2 linked regions of the Anolis sagrei genome follow. The protein of the gene in region 1 interacts with the protein of each later gene in a biochemical or structural test. Links are inferred from orthologs where the notes say so. Each region holds a gene or a part of one and is shown in the gene's direction. Other genes may lie near its edges.

The links.
Region 2: the proteins of MC4R (region 1) and pro-opiomelanocortin form a complex in vitro, tested with the Homo sapiens proteins (2 studies listed by BioGRID). The link is inferred for Anolis sagrei from reciprocal best matches to the Homo sapiens genes MC4R and POMC.

The regions. Positions count from the first base shown.
Region 1 is NC_090024.1:91,500,109-91,515,429, reverse strand, and holds MC4R (melanocortin receptor 4), read left to right. Parts: upstream 1-7,366; 5' UTR 7,367-7,788; coding exon 7,789-8,787; 3' UTR 8,788-9,667; downstream 9,668-15,321.
Region 2 is NC_090021.1:5,505,277-5,521,086, reverse strand, and holds the start of pro-opiomelanocortin, read left to right. Parts: upstream 1-9,285; 5' UTR 9,286-9,567; intron 9,568-15,810.

The DNA.
Region 1 (15,321 bases):
TTGCCTTGAAGTTCATGGATTGTTCTCTGTTTTGGAACAATATATATTTCAATAAACTGCTTGCTGATTTTACCAAACTGGTAAGGTGTTTAAGGTCAGAGGAGGGTTCCTTCTCTGGTGTACAACAGTAGGTCACCATTTTGCTGCTGTGGTGGAAAGGGACAGCCACCTCACATCACCAGAAGCTCTGCACGGGTATTATAGAACTGGCTGCAGGTGTCAGGACTGCTCTAATTCAGGGGGGAATGTTTTCCCCTAATTCAGGGGGGGACGATGCCTTGAATTTTATAGCCATGTGCCAGCTGTCTTATTTGTTTCTTTTGGGCTTCAAATTCCACTGTTTTTTTCCCCCCTGTATTGGAAATCACTCTGATACTTTACTATTTCAAGTGAAGATCAGTGTACACAGTGCCTAATTTAAATATATAAAGAAGTGCATGCAAAAAGAATTTACTCTCTTGTGAAATATCTCTACTTGAAATGATGGAGAATGTTGCTTTTCTCTCTGATGACTGCGTATCCTCAGGCTGTGAGCATTGTATGTGTCAGTTCTGGAGGCAGGGTTATCCCAAGAAAGCAACTAAAGTGAAAAAGTAAACAGCTCAGACTGAAAGACCCCAACATCTGAGGGATTCAGCTCTCTTTTTTAGTTCCCTCCAACTGCTTCAAATAAAATATTTTCAGTACCTTTTCACTTAGTATTACTGCAACAGAAATATGCTCTTTCAAGATTCCCTAGACAATCCTAATCAGGCATGAGGTTGGAAAAATACCTTCTTTGGAATGCAAAGAACCATCAGCACTGCCATTCTGGGAAATGTGTTTTGTCCCATTGATCCAATTCACTACTCGGAACTCTTTCCATCGCAGGTAAAGAAGAAATTGACACTGTTTTGCTCTATCATGACAACATTGACATGGAAGGGAGCCTGCACAGCTTAGGGAGGAACATTGGGAGACATAGCTACATGATACATATACATCTTCTTATGCAGGATTAGGGTCAGGATTTCATCTCTATTGCTTTATGGTATACTCAGAAGGAATTAACAGGAGTTTAATCAAAGCACCAGCATCTCCTTCTCTGTCTGTGTATATTTGTGTGTATGAAAGAGAGAAAAGAAGAGTGGATAATGAGAGAAAAATAAAAGAGCTGGTGTAACCCAATAAGAAACAAAGTGAACAAACAGTTGTTGTAAACTTTACCTTCTTCCATTATGATGCCCTATTCCCTGGTGAAGTTTATCATTAAAAATGAATTGGTGCCTCTTAGGAATTTATTGCATTATAAAGTCATCATCCTGCAGAATTCATGCAATAACAATCCTGGCAGACCAACAACGGGTAATACATGGTGCCCATTTGCCACCCCTGTAAAATAAAGTCCTTATAATTTGGGTGACAAAATGCTTGAAAAAGAGGAAGTCTAATATTATTTTACTAATAATTTTCCTCAAAAAATGGATGTTATGATTTTCTGATAGTTTAATTATTATATTAGACTAGCCGTCCCCTGCCACGCTGTGGCCCACTCTGGTGGTCATGGGGGTTCTGTGTGGGAGGTTTGGCCCAATTCTATCGTTGGTGGGGTTCAGAATGCTCTGTGATTGTAGGTGAACTACAAATTCCAGCAACTACAACTCCCAAATGTCAAAATTCTATTTTCCCCAAACTCCACCAGTGTTCACATTAGGGCATATCGAGTATTTGTGTAGAGTTTGGTCCAGATCCATCATTGTTTGAGTCCACAGTGCTCTCTGGATGTAGGTGAACTACAACTCCAAAACCAAAGGACACTGCCCACCAAGACTGACAGGTTGGAGGTTCGAATCCAGGGAGAGTGTGGATGAGCTCCCTCTGTCAGCTCCAGCTCCCCATGTGGGGACATGAGTGAAAAGTCCCACGAGGATGGTAAAACATAAAAAAACATCTGGACATCCCCTGGGCAATGTCCTTGCAGACGGCCAATTTTCTCACACCAGAAACAACTTGCAGTTTCTCAAGTTGTTCCTGACACTCACACACAAAACAATCAATCACATAATTGAAGTCACACAGTGAAATTTATTGGCAGGAGTTTCAGGACACATTCTTCCTCAAGAACACTTATTTTTTCATATAAGAGCTGCTTGCCACCAGATGAGGGCATTCCTCTGGGTATCAGAGAACTTAACATAAATGCACATTTACTAGGTAATGAAACATATAGAGTGGTTTGGGCATTTGTTGATGCTTGCCTTCAAATCAGTTTTGACTTATCAACCTTGAAGTTTAACAAAAAATTGCATCATGGCAACCAACTATGAGTTGGTAGCTTACTGAATGAATCCTTACAGATAGCTCAGTTAATGGGGAAAGTGGTACACAAGAAAGTAATCTGTGTGGTGACAAGAGAGTTTCTCAGTTCCCCTTCAAAACAGTCTGGTGTTGCAAACCCTGGCATTTGAGAAGCCAACAGCTTTGTTTGGCATGGAGTGGAAGCTGGTGGCTCCAGTGTGAGTTTGGAAAGAAAGAAGGAAGAACTAAACAGCAAAAAGGAATACACGAATATCTGCTTCCTTCCTACTGCTGCTGCCTTACTTTCCAAGCCTTCTTGTCTTCTGCACATTTTCCATCTGGCTTTTGTTGAGCAATGGTGAGTGGCTGTCTTCTTATAGCTACATGATTTCATAGTATTGAGTCATTACAGTGAAAGTGGTATCAAATCACATTAATTCTACAGTGTAGATGCACCCTAGGTTGGCCAGGACAGATGTAAGAGATTTGCATATTCTTATCAGCAGCCTGGATAGCTCATAACATATGGCTCATCTACAAAGGACTTTATCCCATGAGCAGAAGGAAAGTAGGGGAAAGCATTTGGAAGATTGGGGACTTGTCTTACCCTGGCAGGATCCATTCTTAGGGGATGGTCAGTCATCCCATGTCCTTTTCCTATTTTTTTCCTGCTTCCCCCCAGCTTTCATCCTCTTTCTTCAATCAGGAATCAGTCTTTCCTCTGTTTCCACATTCTGGGAAGACAGATTCCCATGGGCAGCCAGAGGAAGCGGTGGTGTGTCATGGAATGGCCTGTGTGGGACTCCATTTTGTCAGCATGCGAAAAGGGAGAAAAAACTGGAGAAAACTTACATGGGATGAGATCAATAGACCAGTTAGATCAGTGTGATAGCCAATCAACCCCATGGCAGCTAAACCCCACACAGGGGCTGACCTGGCTAATGTGGTTTACCCCAGGTTAATTTAACTTGGGAGAAACCCCAAAACAGGATTCAGGTTGTCCCCTGACTTAGAGTGTTTCAAGTCAGCTGGGTCAATTCCTAACTGGAACCATCTGCAATTGTCTTGAGAACCACCCTGTGCTCCCTGTGCTCAGGCTATGTTAAAATCATCTGCTAGTATCTGGAATGAAGTAGATAAGGAGGGTTTATACTGTCATGGGAAACTCTAGAACTCTTTTAAAAATGAAAACAAGCCCTATTTTAAAATTCTAGGTGGAAATGAATTATTTCTGGGCTAGAGCAAGACCTTAGTGGATTTTCATGATGTCTTACCTTGTCCTTGAGACTTCCAGGGCCTATAAATTATCCATGCAAGTGTACTGGCAGACATGTTTCCTTGAGCTGAACACAGTAATGTTGGAACACAGATGACAAGGATTTCTTCATTCTGGAAAGATGTACTGTACATAGCTATTTGATATATTCAATACATACTACTTCATTCATTCCTTTCAAGGACAGCTGAAATTATGGAATTCATTTCCGAACAACCGATATTAAAAGGAAGCTGTTTTACATTTGTTTCATTAGGAAAGAGATAAAGAAGTGGGAATTGTTAGCTAAGGTAAAAAAAAAGGTTTTTAAAACGCAATAAAAATAACAGGTTTGAGCAAAAATGGAAATCTGACTGTATGTCATGAAAGAAAAAAGGACATTCACGACAGCAAAACAAATAGAAATGTCATCTCTTGAAGGTCACTTCATATTGTGCAGTGTTCGAGATTTGCAGATACAATCTTGAGATCCATTAGAAGTATACAATTATAGTACTATGACTCCACATAAATTGATAGTTACATTCTATGGAATCCTGAAATACACAGTTTATGGAGAGGCATTTAGATTTCTCAGGTAATACCTCACCAAATCCCCGATGCAGCCATGGCAATTAAATTAGAATGAGCCCTTGGTTAATTCTTGGCTTTCCCACTTTTTCAACTGCTTTTAAAATGTCCTACTTTATCTCTCCTTTTTCTACTTTATTTTTTTGTCCTCTGCTTACATCAATTGCTACAAAGTGAATTCAAAATGCAAAAGTAATTTGCATCCAATTAATTCAATGGGAGACAGAAATGAAGAGGGACAGAGTTATGTACTTCCTTGTATGTGTATTTGAATTGTTTTTCTTTTTCAGACTTTCACAGTACATACATTTTAGTGTTTCTCTGCTTACAACAGTTATGTTGTGTGTTCTTCCCTATTAATAACTTTCTTGGACATCTTTTGTCCACATTCTATCCTAGTTATCATCTGTGAAATGTTGGAGAATATCCATGTATATGCCTTCAAGTCACATTTGATTTACAGCAACTCCATGAATTTAAATACTCAGAGATGTTTTTGCCAGTTCTTTCTCCAAAATATAATCCACACTATAATAATAAATAATAAACTTTATTTGTACCCCGCCACCATCTCCCTGAAGGGGACTCAGAGCAACTAACATGGGGCCAAGCTCAAAATTACAGTACAGCAAAATAAAATACAAAGAAGCAGAAAATACCATCAAAATAAATAGATGAAATAACAAAATAAAACAAACACTTAGAAAATAACATTATAGAGAAATTGAACACAGCGGGCGGGCCAAATGCACTAGGATAAAATTGATAAAACCCTGGATGAGATAAGTAGTGAGAGAATGTGTTTCTGAGGGAGGAGCTCAAAAGGAATGAACAATGGGTTAGACCTTCATTAAGTGCATCATGAGGATGGAAATGTAGTTGGAACAGACAAAATATGGAATATATGTGGAATATATGTTCACTCACCACAGTATCTGGTATTTACTGGTAGTTTCCCATCCAAGTACTAACAAGAGCTGACCCTACATGGCTTCCAAAGTTCTGGTGTCTTTAAGGAGCGTATTTTGCTGTAAATGTTTAAGTAGTCATGTGAATTGGTTTCAGCTTTTTCAAGAACCACGGATTTGGGGTCCAAAGCTCCAAAGTTGGAATGAGACCTGGATTGGTTGAAGGCAAAGAAACAGAGGGCCCTTCCACACAGCCATATAACCCAGAATATCAAGGCAAAAAATCCCACAATATCTACTTTGAACTGGGCTATCTGAGTCCACACACTGCCATATATCCCAGTTCAAAGCAGATAATGTGGGATTTTATTCAGCTGGGTGGAAGTGGCCAGAGACTTTATTCACTCTGGCCAAAGTGAATGCCAGCAGAGTCTGCACTCTCAAAACTGATGTGAGGTAATGAAAACATACAGAATCATGTATAGGACTTTGACAGCAGTTTAAACCAAAGAACTTTTGCACTGATTGGGTCAGACAGGGGCCAGCTAGGATCCACATGCTGGTTGGCCAAGACAAGTCATCTACCACTTTCATTTATAGGTTTCTGGCCTGGCAGGAATTGTAATAAATGGTCAGTGCTCCATTTGAGGATTTGTGCCTGCTTCTTGGTCCACTTCCAGAAAATGCATGGGAGAAAGGAATGTGGATAGAGTTTGAGTGCTAATAGCATCATTCCTGTTTGCCTAGAGTAGGACAATGTATCTTGATCAGCTAAATAATGGTGGAAAGGGTGTTGCGTGTTTTGAATGGGTTCCCAGGAAAAGGGTCTGGCAGAGAGCTGGGGAACTTGCGTGACCTTTCAGTCTGAGTTCACTGCTAGATCATGTATCTAAATATTGTGAGGTATGTCTACTACCTGGATGAATGATGGGATTTGCCCTGAAATGTGTGTATGTGTTTATGTAACTTGGTAGATACAGGTTTAAGGTTGCCTACTGATGTTAGCTGAACTGAGTTTCTGGGGGAAAAGTCACCCATAGGCTCCATGTCTTGGTACGATGTGGGTATTGGAGATCCGTTTTAGGCTCCTAGAGTTTCAAGAACAGTCAGGTACACACTTTTTGTCTAACATATCCATAAATTCCTTTATTCATAGCTTGAAAATGTTTACAAAAGTCATGAAAGCAAACGTTGATTTTGCCATTGTAAATAAGGGACACCATTTTACTATGCCATTGTATCCATGGGGGGAGGGGGAGCCCTACACAGGAAACCAATCCCCAATGAATACTACTGTGAACTGTATGCCAAAAAAAATTAAAAATACAAAGCATTTCTAGTCTGCCTTTCTCAGCCCTAAGGCAACTCAAGGTGGGTTACAGATTGGCTCAAGGGAGTTATTTCTATGATGAGGGTGTTCCTGCCAGGCTCCTTCTTCACTGCCATATAATCCAGATTTTCAAAGCAAATAATCTAGATTTTATGTGGCAGTGTAGAAGGGTCCCCAGACTGGCTAGTAGTTTCATTCCTTTATATGTTGCTCATTCACAGTTCCTTTATTTCCATGGATACTCAGGATACAGTGTTTGAATCAACTGGTCTAAACATTCAAAGTCGCTGCAATTTTATGGAGGGGTTTTGACTTTGGTACAGCATATAATAATAATAATAATAATAATAATTATTATTATTATTATTATTATTATTATAATAATAATAGTGATCTTGACATACCTCATGAAAGGAAAGCAACACCATCACCACTATGATTTATTTGATCTATAACATAGGAAATTATTATTTTCTTTGCAAGGACAAATAGAAGCAGATCATATTTTCTTACTCATTTATTGATTTGATTCACACCCAGAGTTTCTCTCAGATCTGACATTCAAGGCAGCTTGTGCTTAAAACATTTGCAGAAAAAAATGCCATGTATTTGTATACTAAAATCATTATTTTAAAACACAATTGAATGATGAGTTTTTAAACACACATGCCATTGGAAGCCCCATCCTGAACAACTGATCAGTTGCCAAAAGCTTCCTGAATAAAATGATATTTAAGAGAAATTCTTTGCAGAAATTTTTTAGAGAAATTCTTTGCAGAAATCTAGAGAAACAAAAACAGCCTCCTCTCCTGTTAACACTCAGCAGCTGTATTGCACAGGAAAATGTTTTACCAAACTGTAGAAATCTGAAATGCATCCAGCTCCTCCTGCCCTCACACATCCTTTTCTCTCTATTGGCTGGATAGTAAACTGGAGGTGGAACTTGCTTCTAACTACCTTCCCTGTTCCAACACAGTACAAGTAACAGCAGCAGGCAGGCTGGCATTGCACAGAAAACTGAGTACTATGTATGGCTTGAAATGATTTTTTCTTTTTTAGAACTCATCAGCTGGAACTGAAAGCATTGTGGCTCCTCTTGAGGTTCGATTCTCACAGAGAATGGAAGTACTTCACCAAATTCCAGGCTATATGAAAGAGAAGCAGCACTCAGCTATACAATCTCAGAGGCTACAGGCGCATATGGCGTTGAATGAGTCAACTCTGGCTGCAAAACATTGCATCTTTATCTTGCTTCTTGGAATCTGCTTTCCTGCCGTTGCATCCCTTGTCACTGTTTGGAACAGCCCCCTCTCATGAAAAACATATCCACAGATTCATTCAAAGAGGTGGAGACTGGAGAGAGAGGTGGATTGAATTCAAAAACTGACAAAAGGATTGTTAGCTCTTGAATCACTGCTTTTTGGAAGATGAACTTCACCTACCACTACGGGATTCACCAGCATCTTGACTTGTGGAACCACAGCTACAGACTACATGGTGGAGTCATGAACCGATCCCTGGGGAAGAGTTACTCTTCAGAAGGATGCTACGAGCAACTTTTTGTCTCACCGGAAGTATTTGTTACCCTCGGCTTTGTCAGCTTGTTAGAGAATGTCCTGGTGATCGTGGCTATAGCCAAGAACAAGAATTTGCATTCCCCGATGTATTTTTTCATTTGCAGCTTAGCTGTAGCAGATTTACTTGTGAGTGTCTCCAATGGGTCGGAAACTATCGTTATCACCCTCTTGAACAACACTGATGTGGGCGCCCACAGTTTCACGGTCAGCATTGACAATATTATTGACTCGGTGATCTGCAGCTCCTTGCTTGCCTCAATTTGTAGTCTGCTATCCATAGCTGTGGACAGGTACTTTACGATCTTCTATGCTCTCCAGTACCATAACATCATGACAGTCCGGCGTGTAGGTATCATTATCACCTGCATCTGGGCTGCTTGCACTGTTTCAGGCATCCTGTTCATCATATACTCCGACAGTAGTGTGGTCATCATTTGTCTCATCAGCATGTTTTTTACCATGCTAGTCCTCATGGCATCTCTCTATGTCCACATGTTCCTGCTGGCCCGGCTGCATATTAAAAAGATCGCTATTCTCCCCGGCACGGGACCCATCTGTCAACGGGCCAACATGAAGGGGGCAATCACTTTGACCATTTTGATTGGGGTTTTTGTGGTGTGCTGGGCCCCACTCTTTTTCCATTTGCTTTTCTACATCTCTTGCCCCCACAATCCATACTGCATCTGCTTCATGTCACATTTTCACCTGTACCTCATCCTCATCATGTGCAATTCCATTATCGATCCACTTATTTATGCCTTCCGGAGTCAAGAGCTGAGGAAAACCTTCAAAGAGATTATGTGCTGTTACAGCCTGCGAGAGCTGTGTGATTTCTCCAGCAAATACTGAATGGACACAGTGAAGCTCTTTTACTTACGCACCTTTTACAGAGGCTGACATTTCCTCCAGTGTTTCTAAGACTGTGGGCTAGATGGATGAGAAAGAACCCTGCTTTACTGGAATTATTAAATGTATTTCTCTGCTTTTATGCTTGTCAAGCCATTGAGTGTAATTATTTAAATGTTAAAGTGTTGCTCCTGCTTAAGGTTAGGAATGTCTCTACAGACTGTTATTAAAGGAACATGTGCCCATATTTTCAAAACTGTGATATAGTTAGAACAATAATATTGAGGACTAAGCAAGAAAATATTGCCTTAATATATCTTGCATGCATCACTGTTCTTTGCCTTGCTCTATTAAGCTACTTATGTTTGAAAGCAGGATTTTTTTTTTGCCTTGCACAAAGATATTTAACTTGAAATGTGATGAAAATATTATCTTTTCCACTGAGCTCAGGTGCTCCACAACTTTTTCATAAGCAGATGTGATAACTCCTGTCGGATTTCCTTCCTGGCTGGATCTACACTGAGTCCTCACTGCCATATGTTCCACTTCAAAGCACATAATCTGGATTTTATATGGCAGCAAATAAAGGACCTCAGTTGTAATCATCACTGTATCGGGTGGAGGGGAGGTGGAATGATTTTGTCACAGTACCAAGACATTTTTTTCATCCATCTCTGTTGTAATGTAATATATATTGATTTGGTGTTGAATGTGAAATCAAGACCCATTAACTTTACAAAAGACCTGCTACTGGAGGAGATAAAAGCTGGCAGAATTTGTTTGTGAATCTCCTTGTGGATCATGGGAACTATTACAAGTGCCTCCACCTCTAAAACTCTCATTAAACCACTGATAAACCACTGACAACTTTCTGTAAAGTAAATAGCCCCTGCTGATTTAATATGAGAGAGAACTAAAGTAGTTCTGTTGCATTAATTATGATTACTACTAGACTTGTTTGGGAAATTAGTATTTATGTTTGAATTAATGAACATCGTTCTCTCCTCACTCTCCCTGGTAATGTTCACATTTATTCACAACCCTGAGAAAAATAATTTATACTTCCTTTTAATAATATTTTTATTTAGGGGGTAGACAAGGAGAGGGGTAAACAAAAATGGGGGTAATTTGTTCATACATTTAAAGTGGGGAAACAATACTATGTATAGAAAGCAAGAAAGAAGTAAAATTTAAAAAGAAGAGAGAGAAAAAACCATTGGTGACTTCCATCTAATCCTTTGTGGTTTAAAAACTTATTCTATCAAGAAAATAGCACACCTTCGATGTTTGAGGCACAAAAACCAAGCTCTTGAATTTAATCTATTATTAAGTCCATTCTACAATGTCCCTTTGGGAAGAAGCAACTTTAAGTGCTTCTTTTTTATTTTTTCATTCTTTCATATTTCTCTATATGTGTCCAATTTGTCTGACCGGGCTTCCCGAGTTAGAAACATAATTTATACTTATTGACTTGCTCTTGCTCAATGTATTGGAGTGCCTTTCCACAAAATGCTCAAGATTGATGTGTGCCCCTATGTTAAATACAAAACTATGCTATTTGAAGTAATACTGCTGCTTTTAAATCCTAGGTAGAAGCAAAGCCAGGAATGAAAGCAGCAACACTCAGCTTAAAGTGCTCAGCTTTAAAAGCTAAATTAAAGTAGGTCCAAATTAATGTGCTACAGCAATCCTGGCCTTGGGAATCCAGATCAGTTATTAGTATCTAATTATGTTCTGATACAGAACCATCTTTTAAAAAGAAACACACATTAACCAAACACACACCATGGGTTTTTTAATATATATAATGAAAATGTTTATAACATATACTCCCTTCCTAGAACATTGAGTACAGCTAATGGGATGCATACCAGTCCTTACAGGAAAAAAATATAATTACAGCCCAGTTGGATTTACAAAAAAAAAAAAAAATCATAATGCCACAAGAAGCAACAATAAAAACAAAAATGTGCACAACATAAGTAAAGATACTGATCATCCAGGGTCCTTTAAAACCACACTATAATTCCACTTTATTCCTTTATTGGATTTGTGCCCCTCTTTTCTTTCAGGCCCCTTCCACACTGCCACTATAGCCCAGGATCTGATCCCAGATTATCTTCATATCGCAGTGGAGATTCAGACTCCTTCCACACTGCTATATAATCCAGATGATCAAAGCAGTAATCTAGATTATCTGCTTTGAACTGGATTATGAGAGTCTACACTGCCATATAATCCCGTTCAAAGCAGATAATCCGGATTTTATATCACAGTGTAGAAGAGGCCTCATATATTCCAGTTTAAAGCAGATAATCTAGTATCAGTTATTGAGCTATAGGGAGTGTAGAAGAGGCCACAGACTGAGATTCAAAGTGGCTCTGCCTAGACCTACACTGCAATATAACCCTGTTCAAAGCGGATAATCTGGAGTGTATATAGCAGTATAGATGGGGCCTTAGATAAGACTTCTTTACCCATTGTCACTCTTTTTTATCTGCTGTGGGCACTGATTATTTCATTAATTTATGCAATGTTGTTTACACATTCAAATGTTTTTATGTATTCCTGTTATATTGTTTTACTATTTTTATTATTACATGTTACTGGGTTTATAATTGCAAACCATCTTGGGTGATTGCTTGTCCTGAATGGTAGTTTAAACACTTAAAGAAAAAATAAATAAAAACGCTGTTGGTGGAATCATCACCATCATCACCATTGTTGTTACTTATTGGTGTCTTAGACCATGGTTGCGACTATGTGTTATAGGCAAATGAATTTGGTTTTCCCTGTTACAACCTGAAATTAACAGAATTTTCTATAGCTTGTCCTTGGAGAGTGATTGACTGCTCTAAAACTTGGCAATATAAAGAATGTCAGGATGGAAAATTCCAAAATGTGGTGTAGAAATAGTAAGAAATGGCCAAGTGAAATGAACTTGAAGTTTGATGCATTATGTTCCTTTAAATACCTGTCCATCCACATACAGACCCTATGAATCTTATATGATTTTCTAAGGTAATGACTACTCGGATGTATTTTTCATTGCTTTCCTATGAAATATAACTCACAGAACCTGGTATTCAGTCTCCCATTCAACTATCCACCAGACCTGGCTCTTCTTAGCTTCCAAGATCAAACAGACAACCTCTTATTATTTGTGTGCATTTCATTTTCTGTGTACTTGTCCAAAGTTAAGATTTTGCAGAAAACATTTCCCCATTTGCCCATCTTTCAGAAAACAATTTGATGGATTGAATCAGGGAGAAGGTCATGTATGACCTTTGTATAGTAAGAAGAAAACCAACAGTCTTAGTAGAAGAAAAAATGTTTACAGTTTTGTTAAAAAAAGCACTTTTGTGTCCCATTCTATTTTATGGACTTCTTTGTAAGCACAATACATGTTGTCTATCCAGTAGAATTCTTGTAGGAGGTAACAGGAGGAAACAGACAGAAGTGTGGTTGGGTATTACTATTCACTTGTACAGAAATCCACATAGACTCTGGACCAATGGAGAGCTTGTGTGTAAAAATAGAAAGAAAGAAAGAAAGAAAGAAAGAAAGAAAGAAAGAAAGAAAGAAAGAAAGACCTACTCTATGGAAGAAGGTAGTATAACTCACCAAATCAAGATGAGGTAGTAGATGACGCTTTTCTGAAATAATCATCTGGAAACTCCCAAAACCAAGAACCAGTAGTTATGGGAGATTTCAATTATCTTAATACCTGCTGGGAAGCTAATTCTGAGCGTGACTTCTGTTGTTGTCACCCCCCCCTCCCCCAACATTAACTATGCTGTGTCGTAGACATTGTGACCCATCATCATTTGGAGTGGTACACATATTCCATTTTGAACCACTGAGGGAGGTCATTTATCTTGCCTAGTTTACTGTTGCTGGGGTGTAATTCTGGAAGGGAAATTCTTATCTTGATGCACAAAAATCAGTTATATTTATTATGATATTTAGAAAAATTGGAATGCATACTATTTCGGTAAAACTGCTCTTCTATTCAACATTAACTGGTGGCTTAGGGGCAGTGAATTTATGCTAGGTTTTTGTCCATATATTTAAGAAGTTGCTAAACAATTCAAATTCATATTAAACCTGGGGTGGATTTACGGAGGGCATGTCTAGACAGTGCCAAAATCCACATTTTAAATGGGGAGTAAAAAATCTTGGGACCTGAGAACATGTCCCTATTTTCACCTGTTAGTCCCAGGATTGGGTCCCCCACCATCTTCACAGGCTTCCTCTGCATTGGAACAAGATGGAGGGTGGGCGGGGGACATCCGGTGGAATTTTTTACTGGACTGTATATGTGCACATGCAAATATCTTAATATAAATACAAGCAGAGTTGTATGTACATATATGAGGTCCGGCGCATAACAAAGTGAATAAACAAACCACTTACGCCAGATTTCACCCTTCCTTCAATTGTTTATTCCAGCTCTGTTTCAGAGAGTTATAATTACTTTCCACTTGTGCTTTCCTTGCACCACTCATGTGCCCATTTGAAACGCCAATCCACTGATGAGCTGTTTCAGGCTTTTTAAAAGCACAAGTACACTGTAGCAGTCTCAACAAGAGGGAGGGAAGGAAATCACATGTTTTTTGTGAGCGCAGGGATGCACAGTGACGTGAATATGCATACTTTCCAGCTGGAATCAGGATATAAGTGGACCTTTTGAACACATGTTTTTTTTTTGTCTGTTGCAATGAATCAGTACGGATTTACCACTAGTATCATCTATCCCCCCCCCCCCTTTTAACTTGGTAACTTCTGCATTTTAGGTGCTGTGTAGTAGGGCCCCAAGTCACTAATATGAAAGACACTAGTTGTAACTATGGCTCCTTCTGCACGGCCATAAAAAATCCACATAGACTCCACATATTCCAGATTACCAAAGCATATCATCTGCTTTGAATGGGATTATATGGCAGTGTAGACTAATACAATCCAGTTCAAAGCAGATTATGTGGATTATCTGCTTTGGTAATCTGGAGTATAAGGAATCATAGAAAAGGCCTGGATTTATTTTGTGCACCACTTCCTCCTCATTCATTAAGAGCTTTTCCAAGATTTTTTCTTTCACCTCTTTCCCTAATATGTTTGAGCCCTGTCCAAAATCATATTATGACGTCATTAAAGCTGAACTAGCATATAATTAAAGGAAAATGCATTCTGATGATCAGCACAATAATTTCAAATAGCACATGATTGAAGAAAATGCATTTTAATGAATACAAAAAAATGTTTTAAAAGCAAGCATTTATTCCTGAGAAAAAATATGTAGCATTCTATTTTTCAAAAGAAATTTAAAAGTTCACATTTAGATATCAGAAATTATATAGTACACTACATGATCATTTCTAAAATTATCTAATTTTTGCAATTGTTAGGACTTGAAAGATGTGACAGTACCAGGATGACTGAAACATAACTTCTGTAGTATTAATCTCCCACCAGCCCATTCCCTTGATTTACACTTTGTGCAAATAAGAACATAGATGCATAGCAACAAAATGTTCATTTGTAGTGATGAAGACATAAAATTTGATACAGATATTCTTGTATTTGTACATACTTTTACCATGAGATTTTAGAAAATGGCAAGGAACATTTAAAATTATGATACCAATTACATTTACCATTCTATAATTTTGAAAAAATCACAAGAATTCACCTGAAGTGTAATAAAACACCAAAAGGGTAAAAGTCTCATTATTAAACCTCAAAATTGTCCTATTATATATCTGCCAAAAAGTAGAGTGGTCTACCAGCATCTACCAACACATTTCCACTACCCAGACAGCCACCTCTCCACAAAAGTTGACGTCAACACTGAAATAAAACATCTTTTGAGTTCTGTGAATGCAACATTTTTTTGAATGAAGCAGAGTTTGCTTGAAGATCAGGACATTCATAGGGATACCAAGATGCTTGTTTATAAAGCTATTGTCCTCCCAACCCTGTTATATGCCTGCAAATTGTGGATTGTCTACAAACATCACTCTCAACTTCTGGAAATATTCCATCAGCGTTGCCTTCAAAAAAAACTTGCAAATCTCTTGGGAAGAGGCAAACATTAGCGTTCTGAAGAAGCAAAGACCACCAGCATTGAAGTGATGATTCTTCGCCATCACTGGGCCAGCCATGTTGTCCAAACGCCTGATCACTGTCTCCCAAAGCAGTTAGATTACTCTCGGCTCAAGAAAAAAATGGAATGTCAGGGGATAGCATCCAGCCTATACTTAAAAGCTTCCAAAGAAGGAGCCTCCACCACACTCCGGAGCAGAGAGTTCCACTGATAAATAGTAGGCCTGGGCGGTTTCGTTCGTTAATTTTGTAATTCGTTAAATATTCGTTATATTTAACAATTACAAAATGATTTCAAAATATATTTTCAAACCTGGAAGGGTTTTTCAATAACGAAACGGCATCCTCCATACTTTTTACGAGCTTCCGCCCGTTTCGGAAATGGGATGGAGGATGCTGGGTGCCTGGGAGCCAATCCGGCGCTCCCAAGCACCC
Region 2 (15,810 bases), on another chromosome or scaffold:
TAGAATTATAGAGCTGGAAGAGACTTCGTGGGCCATCCAGTCCAACCGCTTTCTGCCAAGAAGCAGGAAAATTGCATTCAAAGCACCCCCAACAGATGACCATCCAGGCTCTGTTTCAAAGCCTCCAAAGAAGGATCCTCCACCATACTCCGGGGCAGAGAGTTCCACTGCTGAACAGCTCTTGTGCTGGCACATCTGTGCAAGATGCTAAATTTTCTTTTTCTATGCATGGTTAGTTTGCACGTGTTTCTGTTAGCCCTCCTCTGGAAACTTTCCAGTTTGTCAACCTCTCCCTTCAATTGCGGTGCCCAGAATTGAACAGAGTGTGATTCAAGGTGTGGTCTGACCAAGGCAGAATAGAGCATGATTTCCCTAGATCTAGACACTAGACACTAGACTCCTATTGATGCAGACCAAAATGTTGTTGTGCGCTTAGGGCAACCAAAGGCAACCCTCTCACAGAGTTTTCTTGTTTTTGTTTTCCTTTGAGGCTGAGAAAGTTGGACTTCTTGCATAATAGCACACAGTGGGTTCAGAGCCGTAGTCCCAGGTCCAAACCACAATGTCATAATTTCTGGATTCCTTCCCTTTCTTTTTTTTCTTCTAACTACCTTTCTTTCTCCCTTTCTTCTCTTCCTTCCTCTCTGTTTCCTGCCTAGTTATCTATCTAGGCAGAAAAAAACAAAATGCAAAGAGACAGAATGGGGACAATGCCTGGCTCGAGAGCATTATGTGTGGAAAAGATCTTGGAGTCCTCGTGGACAACAAGTTAAACATGAGCCAACAATGTGATGTGGCGGCAAAAAAAGCCAATGGGATTTTGGCCTGCATCAAGAGGAGCATAGTGTCTAGATCCAGGGAAGTAATGCTACCCCTCTATTCTGCTTTGGTTAGATCACACCTGGAATATTGTGTCCAATTCTGGGCACCACAATTCAAGAGAGATATTGACAAGCTGGAATGTGTCCAGAGGAGGGCGACTAAAATGATCAAGGGTCTGGAGAACAAGCCCTATGAGGAGTGGCTTAAAGAGCTGGGCATGTTTAGCCTGAAGAAGAGAAGGCTGAGAGGAGATATGATAGCCATGTATACATATGTGAGAGGAAGCCACAGGGAGGAGGGAGCAAGCTTGTTTTCTGCTTCCTTGGAGACTAGGACGCGGAACAATGGCTTCAAACTACAAGAGAGGAGATTCCATCTGAACATGAGGAAGAACTTCCTGGCTGTGACAGCCGTTCAGCAGTGGAACTCTCTGCCCTGGAGTGTGGTGGAGGCTCCTTCTTTGGAAGCTTTTAAACAGAGGCTGGATGGCCATCTGTCAGGGGTGATTTCAATGCAATATTCCTGCTTCTTGGCAGAATGGGGTTGGACTGGATGGCCCAGGAGGTCTCTTCCAACTCTTTGATTCTATGATTCTATGATCTTCCTTTTCTTTCTTTTTTTCTTCCTCTCTCCTCTCCTCTTTCTGTTCTGGAAGGTGCAAGAATGGGGTGGAAATGATCCCCTCACTTTGGGGGGATAATAAAGGAAAGGAAAGATAATATAATAATAGCTTTATTTCTGTACCCTGCCTCCATTTCCCCGAAGGGACTCGGGGTGGCTTCCATGGAGACAAGCCTGATCAACGTAGTTAAAATAAACACATTAAAATACATAAACAACAGCATAAACAAAATAAAACATCAACATTATAGCTAAATATAAAAACAGCCACCAAACCAACCACCAGTGGACCTGAAATAACAGGAAGGAAATGAAATAAAAGGAAAGGAAAGGAGAATTAAGGAGCAACAACAACAATATTTATTATGGTCCAGACCCATCAGTAAATGAACAGCCATGAGAAATTCTCCCATCTCAGGTGACATTCATTGTACAAGATACATCTACAAGATACATCACAGACCTTCTCAACCTCTGAGGCTGCTTGCCATAGATGCAGGCGAAACGTCAGGAGAAATGCCTCTAGAACATGGCTCTATAGCCCGAAAAAACCCACAAGAACCTAGTGATTCCAGCCATGAAAGCCTTCGACAATACATCTACGTGGTTTCAAGTTATACCCCTGCGTTAAGGAGCAAAAAGAGAGTGGCATGAATGGTGGTGGTGGTAGTGGCAAGCCTGCAGTTTAGGGCAAAGGCCTTTGATGGGCTGGATTTGGCCCGTGGGCTGTAGTTTGAGGACCAATGATCTGTTTGCTGATTATTGGTTCAGTCACTTCCAACTCATGGTGACCTCCTGGACCAGCCCAGGCCAGAGCTCCCTGTCAGCTGTGGCCACCCCCAGCTCCTTCAAAGTCAAGCCAGTCCCTGCAAGGATACCATCCATCCACCCACCTTGCCCTTGGTTGGCCCCTCTTCCTTTTTCCTTCCATTTTCCCCAGCATCATTCTTTTCTCCAAGCTTTCCTGTCTTCTCATGATGTGGCCAAAATACTTCATCTTTGCCTCTCATCTCCTTCCCTCCAGTGAGCAGTCGGGCTTTATTTCTTGGAGGATGGACTGGTTGGATCTTCTTGCAGTCCACGGCACTCTCAGAACTTTCCTCCAACACCACAGCTCAAAAGCATCTATCTTCCTTCCCTCAGCCTTCCTTATGGTCCAGTTCTCTCATCCATAGGTGACTATGGGGAATACCATTGCTTTAACTATGCAGATCCTCGTTGCCTGTCTGATGTCACTACTCTTCACTGTTTTATCAAGATTGGCCATTGCTCCCCTCCCAAGAAGGAAACATCTTCTGATTTCCTGGCTGCAGTCTGCATCTGCAGTAATCTTTGCTCCTAGAAATACAAAGTCTCTCACGGCCTCCACGTTTTCTCCCTCTATTTGCCAGCTATCAATCAGTTTGGTTGCCACCATCTTGGTTTTTGTGATGTTGAACTGCAACCCAGCTTTTGCACTTTCTTCTTTCACCTTGGTAAGAAGGCTCCTCAGCTCCTCCTTGCGTTTGGCCATCAAAGCGGTATCATCTGCATATCTAAGGTTGTTAATGTTTCTTCCAGCCATTTTAACTCCAGCCTTGGATTTATCAAACCCCGCACATCGCATGATGTGTTCTGCAGGCAACTTCTTACTTCTTACTTAGGTGATCCCTCATTGTCCGAGTAGGAGAATCCTCCAGGGTGGGTCCGTAGGTGACTATGGAGCCCTATTTGTGATCTGCATCATATCCCGCAATGAAGGCATTGGTTTCCAGGTGGAAGTTGGTCCCGGTCGACAAAAGATTCGCTACTCTGAAGCCTTTGACTGCGTGCATCATAATAAATTGTGGCAAGTTCTTGGTGGCATGGGGAGACCAAGTCACCTTGTCTGTCTCCTAAGGAACCTGGCAAGTGGCAACAGTAAGAACAGACCATGGAACAACCGACTAGTTCAAGATTGGGAAAGGAGTACCACAGGGCTGCCTGCGAAACATGGACTGTCTACAGACATCACATGCAACTCCTGGAACGATTCCATCAGCGCTGCCTCTGGAAAATCCTGCAAATCTCTTGGCAAGACAAGCAGACAAATGTCAGCGTGCTGGAAGAAGCAAATACCACCAGCATTGAAGCGATGCTACTACACCATCAACTCCGCTGGACCAGCCACGTTGTTCGGATGCCTGACCACCATCTCCCAAAGCAGTTGCTCTGCTACGAACTCAAGAATGGAAAATGGAATGTTGGTGGGCAGGAAAAGAGATTTATAGATGGGCTCAAAGTGAACCTTATCATAGAATCATAGAATCAAAGAGTTGGAAGAGACCTCATGGGCCATCCAGTCCAACCCCCTGCCAAGAAGCAGGAATATTGCATTCAAATCACCCCTGACAAACTCAGAGTTAGAAACTCTGGCATAGACACTGAGAACTGGGAAGCCCTGGCCTTTGAGCGCTCCGGCTGAAGGTCAGCTGTGACCAGCAGTGCTGCAAAATTTGAAGAGGCACGAATGGAGGGCGAAAGGGAGAAGCGTGCCAAGAGGAACCGACCGACTTCCACCTGGAAACCGATGCCCTCACTGTGGGAGAAGATGCAGATCAAGAATAGGGCTCCACAGTCACCTACGGATACACCCTGGAAGATTATCCTACCTGAACAACGAGGGATCACCTAGGTAAGTAAGTGAAGAAAACAGAAATAGATGTTTTTCTGAAATTCCTTGCCTTCCATCATTATTCAGCTGATGTTGGCAATTTGGTCTCTTGTTCCTCTGCCTTTCCAAACCCAGCTTGCACATCTGGCAACTCTTGTTCCATGTATTACTGATCTACACCCCTGATCTACATAGTAGAATTAATGCAGTTTCTCATCACTTTGAGCTGCTGTAGCTCAATGCTATATGATCCTGGGATCTGTAGTATTTCTGTAGTAGGCCACCGTTGGGAGTTTTGCAACGGGGCTTTTGCTTTGCCTGAATGGGATCCCTCTCCCGAGGAAGTGCAATGGCTTTCCCACTCCCTTGCAGCCTGAAGTGCCAGTCTCCGGGCACAGACTTTGCAAATAGAAGAAACCAGACAGAAAGGAAAGAAAGGGAATGTGATTATGAGATGCGGCGGCGGAGAAGAAGGCACCCACCTGTCAATTTGCTCCAGGGAGCCACTCCATCTCCACCTTTTGGCCCCCAGTTCCTCCATCCGCGTCACCATTTTTTCTCCGTAAAAGCATTTGCAGATTCATTCAAAGCTCTGGAATGACTTGATGCTGACGAAGGAGACTTTAACGTGGAAATTCGGGGGCCGTAATGACGATCCAATGGCCCATCCGTCAAAGGAAAGAAGCTTCCCGGACTGTTTCAGGCCACTAAAACTGGAGGTGGCTCGAGCCATTAATGTGCATAAACTCCCTGAGGGAGACCAGCCAAGCTGGGCATTTGTCTATGAAAACCACGTTGATGTATTATTTTCAACGTTTATCCTCTCCAAAAGGACTATTTCGGGGGGCGACAAATGGAGGTGGCCACGAGGGACCATCTCTCACCCTTTATGCTTTATTTAGTTTGGTGCAAAGTGAGAAAGGGAATAATCTTTAAACTATTTTGAAGCTGGGTCTTAAATGATTGTATTTGTTTGTTGAGCATTTTAAATCTATCTTCCCCTTTACCTCATCTCAGGCAACCCAGCAAGGCAAGGGAAAAGAGAGAAATGCATCAGATAGAAGATACATATGCAGATAGATGGATGGATAAAGATGTATGGTTTAGATATGTCTTCCTAATGCTGTGACCCCTGAATAGTTCCTCATGTTGTGGTGACCCTGAAACATAAAATTATTTTTGATGCTACTTCATAACTGTCATTTTGCTACTGTTATGAATCATAGAATCATAGAGCTGGAAGAGACCTCATGGGCCATCCAGTCCAACCCCATTCTGCCAAGAAGCAGGAATATTGTATCCAAAGCACCCCTGACAGATGGCCATCCAGCCTCTGTTTCAAAGCTTTCAAAGAAGGAGCCTCCACCACACTCTGGGACAGAGAGTTCCACTGCTGAACGGCTCTCACAGTCAGGAAGTTCTTCCTCATGTTCAAGAACTGCAAGATAATCCAGACAAGAAAAGGCAAGCTTCTTGTTGTTGTTCATTCGTTCAGTCGTCTCCGACTCTTCGTGACCTCATGGACCAGCCCACGCCAGAGCTCCCTGTCGGCCGTCACCACCCCCAGCTCCTTCAAGGTCAGTCCAGTCACTTCAAGGATGCCATCCATCCATCTTGCCCTTGGTCGGCCCCTCTTCCTTTTGCCTTCCACTTTCCCCAGCATCATTGTCTTCTCTAGGCTTTGCTGTCTCCACATGATGTGGCCAAAATACTTCCACTTTGTCTCTCGTCTCCTTCCCTCCAATGAGTAGTCGGGCTTTCTTTCCTGGAGGATGGACTGGTTGGATCTTCTCGCAGTCCAAGGCACTCTCAGCACTTTCCTCCAGCACCACAGCTCAAAAGCATCTCTCTTCCTTCGCTCAGCCTTCCCTAAGGTCCAGCTCTCACATCCGTAGGTGACTACAGGGAATACCATGGCTTGGACTAGGCAATGGATCTTTGTTGCCAGTCTGATGTCTCTACTCTTCACTATTTTATCGAGACTGGACATTGCTCTCCTCCCAAGAAGGAAGCGTCTTCTGATTTCCTGGCTACAGTCTGCATCTGCAGCAATCTTTGCACCTAGAAATACAAAGTCTGTCACGGCTTCCACGTTTTCTCCCTCTATTTCCCAGTTGTCAATCATTCTTGTTGCCATAATTTTGGTTTTTTTTATGTTTAGCTGCAACCCGGCTTTTGCGCTTTCTTCTTTCACCTTGATGAGAAGGCTCCTCAGCTCCTCCTTGCTTTCGGCCATCAGAGTGGTGTCATCTGCATATCTGAGGTTGTTAATGTTTCTTCCAGCAATTTTTACCCCAGCTTTGCATTCATCAAGCCCCGCACATCCTCGCATGATGTGTTCTGCATACAAGTTAAAGAGGTTGGGTGAGAGTATGCAGCCTTGCCGTACGCCTTTCCCAATCTTGAACCAGTCTGTTCCTCCGTGGTCAGTTCTGACTGTTGCGACTTGGTCCTTGTACAGATTCCTCAGGAGAGAGGGAAAGGGGCTTGGGATGCCCATCCCACCAAGAACTTGCCACAATTTATGATGATCCACACAGTCAAAGGCTTTAGAAGAGTCAATGAAACAGAAAGAGATGTTTTTCTGAAACTCCCTGCCTTTCTCCATTATCCAGCGGATATTGGCAATCTGATCTCTCGTTCCTCTGCCTTTTCTAAACCCAGCTTGAACATCTGGCAACTCTCGCTCCATGTCTTGCTGGAGTCTTCCTTGCAGGATCTTGAGCATTACCTTACTGGCATGAGAAATAAGGGCCACTGGACGGAAGTTTGAGCTTCTTAGTTGAACGCAAAGTTGCTTTGACAAAGTTTGGTCTCAAACACACGGCTTAATACCCTTTACAAAACATGAAGGCGTTTCTTTGGCCTCTGGCCTCCCTCTTGTTAGCTATCCTCTCACTCCTTTGAACGGTCAGCCTGATCTAAGGTTCCCATTTCGTCAAGGTCAATCTGTTCGTTAGTGTCACCCTGTTTCCCTGCTTGCTCATTATCAGGCTGAGAACTGCCCTCCTTCTCTGAGTCAATCTGCACCTGCACCTGGCTATTTCCAGTATCAACACTCTCATGCCTTGCTGTGGGAAACTGCACTTCTTCACTGACTATAACAGGGACATTTTGAACCAAACTATGAACCTGAGTCCCATCCTCCTCATCAGAGACACTCTGTGATTCCAGCTGAGTCACAACAGGGTGATCCTACTATAAATACAGCAGAGTACTCGAAGTAAACTTCATAACCAGATTTTTATTTATTTATTTATTTACTATACTTGTATACCGCCGTTTCTCAGCCCAACAGGCGACTCAACGCGGTTTACAACAAGGATAAAAAACAATCAGTGATATACAATTTAACTTTGCTACATCTTCAAGGGGGAAGGAGATAGTGGAAAGCAAGAAGAGTAAAGACAAAGCCCCTTCTGCGATAAGCATGCATAGGAATGTGAGGGGAGGAATCCCTCACTATGATCCTATTTGTAGTAACTACTCATTGAGGACTGGAGACTTGATAACACAAGAGACTTGTGCAGTCCAGGGACCGGGTTGTCATGCAACTGGTTGGGAGTCAGCTGCATCAAAATCACTACTGACCAAGAGGTCATGAGTTCGAAGCCAGCCTGGGTCAGAGTGAGCTTCCGGCCATTTGTCTAGCTTGCTGTCGACCTTTGCAGCCCGAGAGACAGTTGCATCTGTGAAGTAGGAAATTTAGGTACCGCTTATGCAGGGAGGGTTGTTGTTGAGCTATATGGTCACGTTCTAGAAGCATTCTCTCCTGACATTTCGCCTGCATCTATGGGAGGCATCCTCAGAGGTTGTTAGATCCTCACAACCTCGGAGGATGCCTGCCATAGATGCAGGCGAAACGTCAGGAGAGAATGCTCCCATGACCTCACAACCTCTGAGGATGCCTGCCACAGATGCAGGCGAAACATCAGGAGAGAATGCTTCTGTAACATCACAACCTCTGCGGATGCTTGCCATAGATGCAGGTGAAACATCAGGAGGGAATGCTCCCGTGACCTCACAACCTCTGAGGATGCCTGACACAGATACAGGTGAAACCTCAGGAGAGAATGCTTCTGTGACTTCACAACCTCTGGGGATGCCTGACATAGATGCAGACAAAATGTTAGGAGAGAATGCTCCTGGGACCTCACAACCTCTGAGGATGCGTGCCATAGATGCAGGTGAAACATCAGGAGAGAATGTTCCTGGGACCTCACAACTTCTGAAGATGCCTGCTACAGATGCAGGTGAAACATCAGGAGAGAATGTTCCTCGGACCTCACAACCTCTGAGGATGCCTGCCACAGATGCAGGAGAAACATCAGGAGAGAATGCTCCTGGGACCTCACTACTTCTAAGGATACCTGCCAAAGATGCAGTCGAGACATCAGGAGAGAATGTTCCTGGGGCCTCACAACATCTGAAGATGCCTGCCATAGATGCAGGCGAAACATCAGGAGAGAATGCTCCTGTAACCTCACAACCTCTGAGAATGCCTGCCACAGATGCAGGTGAAACATCAGAAGAGAATGCTCCCATGACCTCACAACTTCTGAAGAAGCCTGCCATAGATGCAGGTGAAACATCAGGAGAGAATGTTTCTGTGACCCCACAACCTCTGAGAATGCCTGCCACAGATGCAGGCGAAACGTCAGAATGCTTCTGTGTCTTCACAACCTCTGGGGATGTCTGCCACAGATGCAGGCGAAACGTCAGGAGAGAATGCTTCTAGATCATGGCCATATAGCCCGAAAAACCTACAACAACCCAGTTGGACAATACATTTCTTCCAACTCTAAGGGGTCCACATCGGCTCGGCCTGCCACATCTGAGAACATGCACTTCGCCATACGTTCCAACATCTGGAAACATTTTTGGCCCTTAAAACCGAACAAAGCGATTCGGCAAATGCTGTCTTGAGTGGGGAGGGGGATTCGCCGGCGTCTCACAGATGCGCACAAGATGCCAAAGCGTGTCGGACCCCCCCGGACGGGGGGGTCCGACACGCTTTGGCATCTTGTGCGCATCTGTGAGACACCGGCGAATCCCCCTCCCCACTCTGATGCAAAAACCCTGCATCACCCATCACCTGGAGGCTCAATCTCCAACACAGGTGTCATGGAAAGAATTACCTGGCTGCCCTTTGCGCACCCAGGTGTTAATCCCCCCACCTCCCTCTCCACACAACTGTGATTGGGGTGCCTTCTTCGCACCCAGCTCCTGCCGCATTTCATGTGATCCTTGTCGAGATGCTGCTAATCCCGGCCTCTTTTGTCTTGTCTGCACCTGGAGGGTCCCCGGGTCCCTCCCCTCGCTGCTGGAAAAGGTTGCCCGGAAGGGAAGGGTGCCTTCGCCTCTCCAGATGGGCTGCTCTGGTATAAAAGGGGGCTGGCAGAGATGTGGAGACGCAGACAGGAGGAGAGAGAGAGAGACAGAGAGAGGAAGAAGACACAGAGGAAGGACAGAGCAGGAGCATTGCGGACCAGGTAAGGCAAGTTGCTCCTCTCCCTCTTTTGCAGCCTTGGGCAGGTTTGCTCTTCTCTCCTTTTGGATGGATAACACACCCCATCCATTGCCATCCTCCTACTTCTCGTCGTTCTTTCTTGCTAACAGGTCACTTGATCCATTGCAACCCTTCTTTTCTTTAGCTTCCACTTCTCTTCTTCCTCATCTCTTGCATTTTTTGCTTTCTCTACTTCAGTGTTTCTGAACCTGAGGGTTGGGACCCCTGTGGGGGTCGCAAGGGGGTGTCATAGGGGTCACCAAAGACCATCAGAAAACATAGTATTTTCTGTTGGTCATGGGGATTCTGTGTGGGAAGTTTGGTCCAATTCTATCATCGGTGGGGTTCAGAATGCTATTTCGTTGTGGGTGAACTATAAATCCCAGCAACTACAATCTCCAAATGTCAAGGTGTATTTTCTCCAAACTCCACCAGTGTTCACATTTGGGCATATTGAGTATCCATGCCAAGTTTGATCCAGTTCCATCATTGTTTGAGTCTACAGTGTCCTCTGGATGTAGGTGAACTACAACTCCCAAACTCAAGGTCAATGCCCACCAGACCCTCCCAGTATTTTCTCTTGGTCATGGGAATTCTGTGTGCCAAGTTTGATTCAATTCCATCATTGGTGGAGTTCAGAAGGCTCTTTGATTGTAGGTGAACTATAAATCCCTGCAACTACAACCCCCAAATGTCAAGGTCTATTTTCTCCAAACCCCACCAGTGTTCACATTTGGGCATATTGAGTATCCATGCCAAGTTTGATCCAGTTCCATCATTGTTTGAGTCTATTGTGTCCTCTGGATGTAGGTGAACTACAACTCCCAAACTCAAAGTCAATGTTCACCAGACCCTCCCAGTATTTTCTCTTGGTCATGGGAATTCTGTGTGCCAACTTTGATTCAATTCCATCATTGGTGGAGCTCAGAAGGCTCTTTGATTGTAGGTGAACTATAAATCCCTGCAACTACTATTTCCAAATGAAAAGGTCTATTTTCCCCAAACTCTATCAGTGTTCACATTGGGGCATATTGAGTATTCGTGCCAAGTTTGATCCAGATCCATCATTGTTTGAGTCTCTGGATGTAGGTGAACTACAACTCCCAAACTCAAAGTCAATGTTCACCAGACCCTCCCAGTATTTTCTCTTGGTCATGGGAATTCTGTGTGCCAAGTTTGATTCAATTCCATCATTGGTGGAGTTCAGAAGGCTCTTTGATTGTAGGTGAACTATAAATCCCTGCAACTACTATTTCCAAATGAAAAGGTCTATTTTCCCCAAACTCTACCAGTGTTCACATTTGGGCATATTGAGTATCCATGCCAAGTTTGATCCAGTTCCATCATTGTTTGAGTCTACAGTGTCCTCTGGATGTAGGTGAACTACAACTCCCAAACTCAAAGTCAATGTTCACCAGACCCTCCCAGTATTTTCTCTTGGTCATGGGAATTCTGTGTGCCAAGTTTGATTCAATTCCATCATTGGTGGAGTTCAGAAGGCTCTTTGATTGTAGGTGAACTATAAATCCCTGCAACTACTATTTCCAAATGAAAAGGTCTATTTCCCCCAAACTCTACCAGTGTTCACATTGGGGCATATTGAGTATTCATGCCAAGTTTGGTCCAGATCCATCATTGTTTGGGTCTCTGGATGTAGGTGAACTACAACTCCCAAACTCAAGGTCAATGTTCACCAGACCCTCCCAGTATTTTCTCTTGGTCATGGGAATTCTGTGTGCCAACTTTGATTCAATTCCATCATTGGTGGAGCTCAGAAGGCTCTTTGATTGTAGGTGAACTATAAATCCCTGCAACTACTATTTCCAAATGAAAAGGTCTATTTTCCCCAAACTCTACCAGTGTTCACATTGGGGCATATTGAGTATTCATGCCAAGTTTGGTCCAGATCCATCATTGTTTGAGTCTCTGGATGTAGGTGAACTACAACTCCCAAACTCAAAGTCAATGTTCACCAGACCCTCCCAGTATTTTCTCTTGGTCATGGGAATTCTGTGTGCCAAGTTTGATTCAATTCCATCATTGGTGGAGTTCAGAAGGCTCTTTGATTGTAGGTGAACTATAAATCCCTGCAACTACTATTTCCAAATGAAAAGGTCTATTTCCCCCAAACTCTACCAGTGTTCACATTGGGGCATATTGAGTATTCATGCCAAGTTTGGTCCAGATCCATCATTGTTTGGGTCTCTGGATGTAGGTGAACTACAACTCCCAAACTCAAGGTCAATGTTCACCAGACCCTCCCAGTATTTTCTCTTGGTCATGGGAATTCTGTGTGCCAACTTTGATTCAATTCCATCATTGGTGGAGCTCAGAAGGCTCTTTGATTGTAGGTGAACTATAAATCCCTGCAACTACTATTTCCAAATGAAAAGGTCTATTTTCCCCAAACTCTACCAGTGTTCACATTGGGGCATATTGAGTATTCATGCCAAGTTTGGTCCAGATCCATCATTGTTTGAGTCTCTGGATGTAGGTGAACTACAACTCCCAAACTCAAAGTCAATGTTCACCAGACCCTCCCAGTATTTTCTCTTGGTCATGGGAATTCTGTGTGCCAAGTTTGATTCAATTCCATCATTGGTGGAGTTCAGAAGGCTCTTTGATTGTAGGCGAACTATAAATCCCAGCAACTCCAACATTCCCAAATGACAAAATTAATCTTTCCCCCAACCCCACCAGTATTCAAATTTGGATGTATCTGGTATTTGTGCCAAATTTGGTCCAGTGAATGAAAATACATCCTGCTTATCAGATAATTACATTGCAATTCATAACAATAGCAAAATTACAGTTATGAAGTAGGAATGAAAATAATTTGGGGGTCACCACCACATGAGGCCCTGCATTAAGGGGTCGCGGCATTAGGAAGGTTGAGAAACACTGCTCTACTTGGAAAGTTGGACGTGGCATAGGACAGGATGCTGGAACTCTACTAGAGTAACCCAATTGAATTGGTAAGATTTACCTATTATTGTAGGAGTGTGGTGGAGGCTCCTTCTTTGGAGGCTTTTAAGCAGAGGCTGGATGGCCATCTGTTGAGGGTGTTTTGATTTTCCTGCTTCTTGGCAAAATAGGGTTGGACCGGATGGCCCACAATAGTCTTCTATATGATTCTATCCCGGTGACGCAATGGGTTAAATCCTTGTACTAGCAGGACTGCTGACCGAAAGGTCGACAGTTCGAATCCAGGAAGCAGGGTGAGCTCCCGTCTGTCAGCTCCAGCTTCTCGTGCAGGGACATGAGAGAAGCCTCCCACAGGATGTTAACACATCCTGGTGTCCCCTGAGCAAACGTCCTTGTAGATGGCCAGTTCTCCCACACCAGAAGAGACTTGCAGTTTCTCAGTGGGGTGAGCTTCTGTCTGTCAGCTCCAGCTTCTTGGGCAGGGACATGAGAGAATCCTCCCACAGGATGATAACACATCCTGGTGTCCCCTGAGCAAACGTCCTTGCAGATGGCCAATTCTCGCACACCAGAAGAGACTTGCACTTTCTCAGTGGGGTGAGCTCCCATCTGTCAGCTCCAGCTTCTCATGCAGGGACATGAGAGAAGCCTCCCACAGGATGATAACACATCCTGGTGTCCCCTGAGAAAACGTCCTTGCAGATGGCCAATTCTCTCACACCAGAAGAGACTTGCAGTTTCTCAGTGGGGTGAGCTCCCATCTGTCAGCTCCAGCTTCTTGTGCAGGGACATGAGAGAATCCTCCCACAGGATGATAACACATCCTGGTGTCCCCTGAGCAAATGTCCTTGCAGATGGCCAATTCTCTCACACCAGAAGAGACTTGCAGTTTCTCAGTGGGGTGAGCTCCCATCTGTCAGCTCCAGCTTCTCATGCAGGGACATGAGAGAAGCCTCCCACAGGATGATAACACATCTGGGCGTCCCCTGAGCAATGTCCTTGCAGACGGCCAATTCTCTCACCCCAGAAGCAACTTGTAGTTTCTCAAGTTGCTCATGACATGGGAAAAAAACCCTATTATTATGATTATTATTATTCTACCCAGCTTAATAACACAGGAAAGTTGGACTTGGCATAGGATGCTGTGGTGAGTCCTCTCCTAGATCTATGGGATTTACCCATTATTATGATTATTATAATCAGGATTATTTCTACCCAGCTTAATAACACAGGAAAGTTGGACATGGCATAGAATACTTGGACTCTCAGTTGAGTCCTCTATTAGAGTAACCCCATTGAATCTATGGGACTTGCCTATTATTATGATTATTACAATTATGATTATTTCTACCCAGCTTTATAATGCAGGAAAGTTGGACATGGCATAGAATGCTGGGACTCTGCGGTGAGTCCTCTACTAGAGTAACCCCATTGAATCTATGGGATTTACCTATTATTATGATTTTTATAGTTAGGAGCTCCCAGTGGTGCAATGGGTTAAACCCTTGTGCCGACAGGACTGAAGACCAACAGGTCGGAGATTCAAATCCGGGGAGAGCGTGGATGAGCTCCCTCTGTCAGCTCCAGCTCTCCATGCAGGGACATGAGAGAAGCCTCCGACAGGATGATAACACATCCTGGTGTCCCCTGAGCAACGTCCTTACGGACAGCCAATTCTCTCACACCAGAAGCAGTTTCTCAACTCGCTCCTGACATGATTATTGCAGTCATGATTATTTCTGCCTAGCTTAATAACACAGGAAAGTTGGATGTGGCATAGGATGCTGAGACTCTGCAGTGAGTCGGAGATTCAAATCCGGGGAGAGCGTGGATGAGCTCCCTCTGTCAGCTCCAGCTTCTTGTGCAGGGACATGAGAGAAGCCTCCCACAGGATGATAACACATCCTGGTGTCCCCTGAGCAAACGTCCTTGCAGATGGCCAATTCTCCCACACCAGAAGAGACTTGCAGTTTCTCAGTGGGGTGAGCTCCCATCTGTCAGCTCCAGCTTCTCATGCAGGGACATGAGAGAAGCCTCCCACAGGATGATAACACATCTGGGCGTCCCCTGAGCAATGTCCTTGCAGACGGCCAATTCTCTCACCCCAGAAGCAACTTGTAGTTTCTCAAGTTGCTCATGACATGGGAAAAAAACCCTATTATTATGATTATTATTATTCTACCCAGCTTAATAACACAGGAAAGTTGGACTTGGCATAGGATGCTGTGGTGAGTCCTCTCCTAGATCTATGGGATTTACCCATTATTATGATTATTATAATCAGGATTATTTCTACCCAGCTTAATAACACAGGAAAGTTGGACATGGCATAGAATACTTGGACTCTCAGTTGAGTCCTCTATTAGAGTAACCCCATTGAATCTATGGGACTTGCCTATTATTATGATTATTACAATTATGATTATTTCTACCCAGCTTTATAATGCAGGAAAGTTGGACATGGCATAGAATGCTGGGACTCTGCGGTGAGTCCTCTACTAGAGTAACCCCATTGAATCTATGGGATTTACCTATTATTATGATTTTTATAGTTAGGAGCTCCCAGTGGTGCAATGGGTTAAACCCTTGTGCCGACAGGACTGAAGACCAACAGGTCGGAGATTCAAATCCGGGGAGAGCGTGGATGAGCTCCCTCTGTCAGCTCCAGCTCTCCATGCAGGGACATGAGAGAAGCCTCCGACAGGATGATAACACATCCTGGTGTCCCCTGAGCAACGTCCTTACGGACAGCCAATTCTCTCACACCAGAAGCAGTTTCTCAACTCGCTCCTGACATGATTATTGCAGTCATGATTATTTCTGCCTAGCTTAATAACACAGGAAAGTTGGATGTGGCATAGGATGCTGAGACTCTGCAGTGAGTCGGAGATTCAAATCCGGGGAGAGCGTGGATGAGCTCCCTCTGTCAGCTCCAGCTCCCCATGCTGGGACACGAGAGAAGCCTCTCACAAGGATGGTAAAACATCAAAACATCCGAGCTTCCTCTGGGCAACATCCTTGCAGACAGCCAATTCTCTCACACCAGAAGCGACTTGCAGTTTCTCAAGTCGCTTCTGGCATTATTATTATTATTATTATTATATTTATATTTTTACCCAACTTAATAACGCAAGAAAGTTGAACATGGCATAGGATGCTGGGACTCTGTGGTGAGTCCTCTCCTAGATCTATGGGATTTACCCATTATTATGATTATTATAATCATGATTATTTCTACACAGCTTAATAACGCAGGAAAGTTGGACTTGGCATAGGATGCTGGGACTCTGTGGTGAGTTCT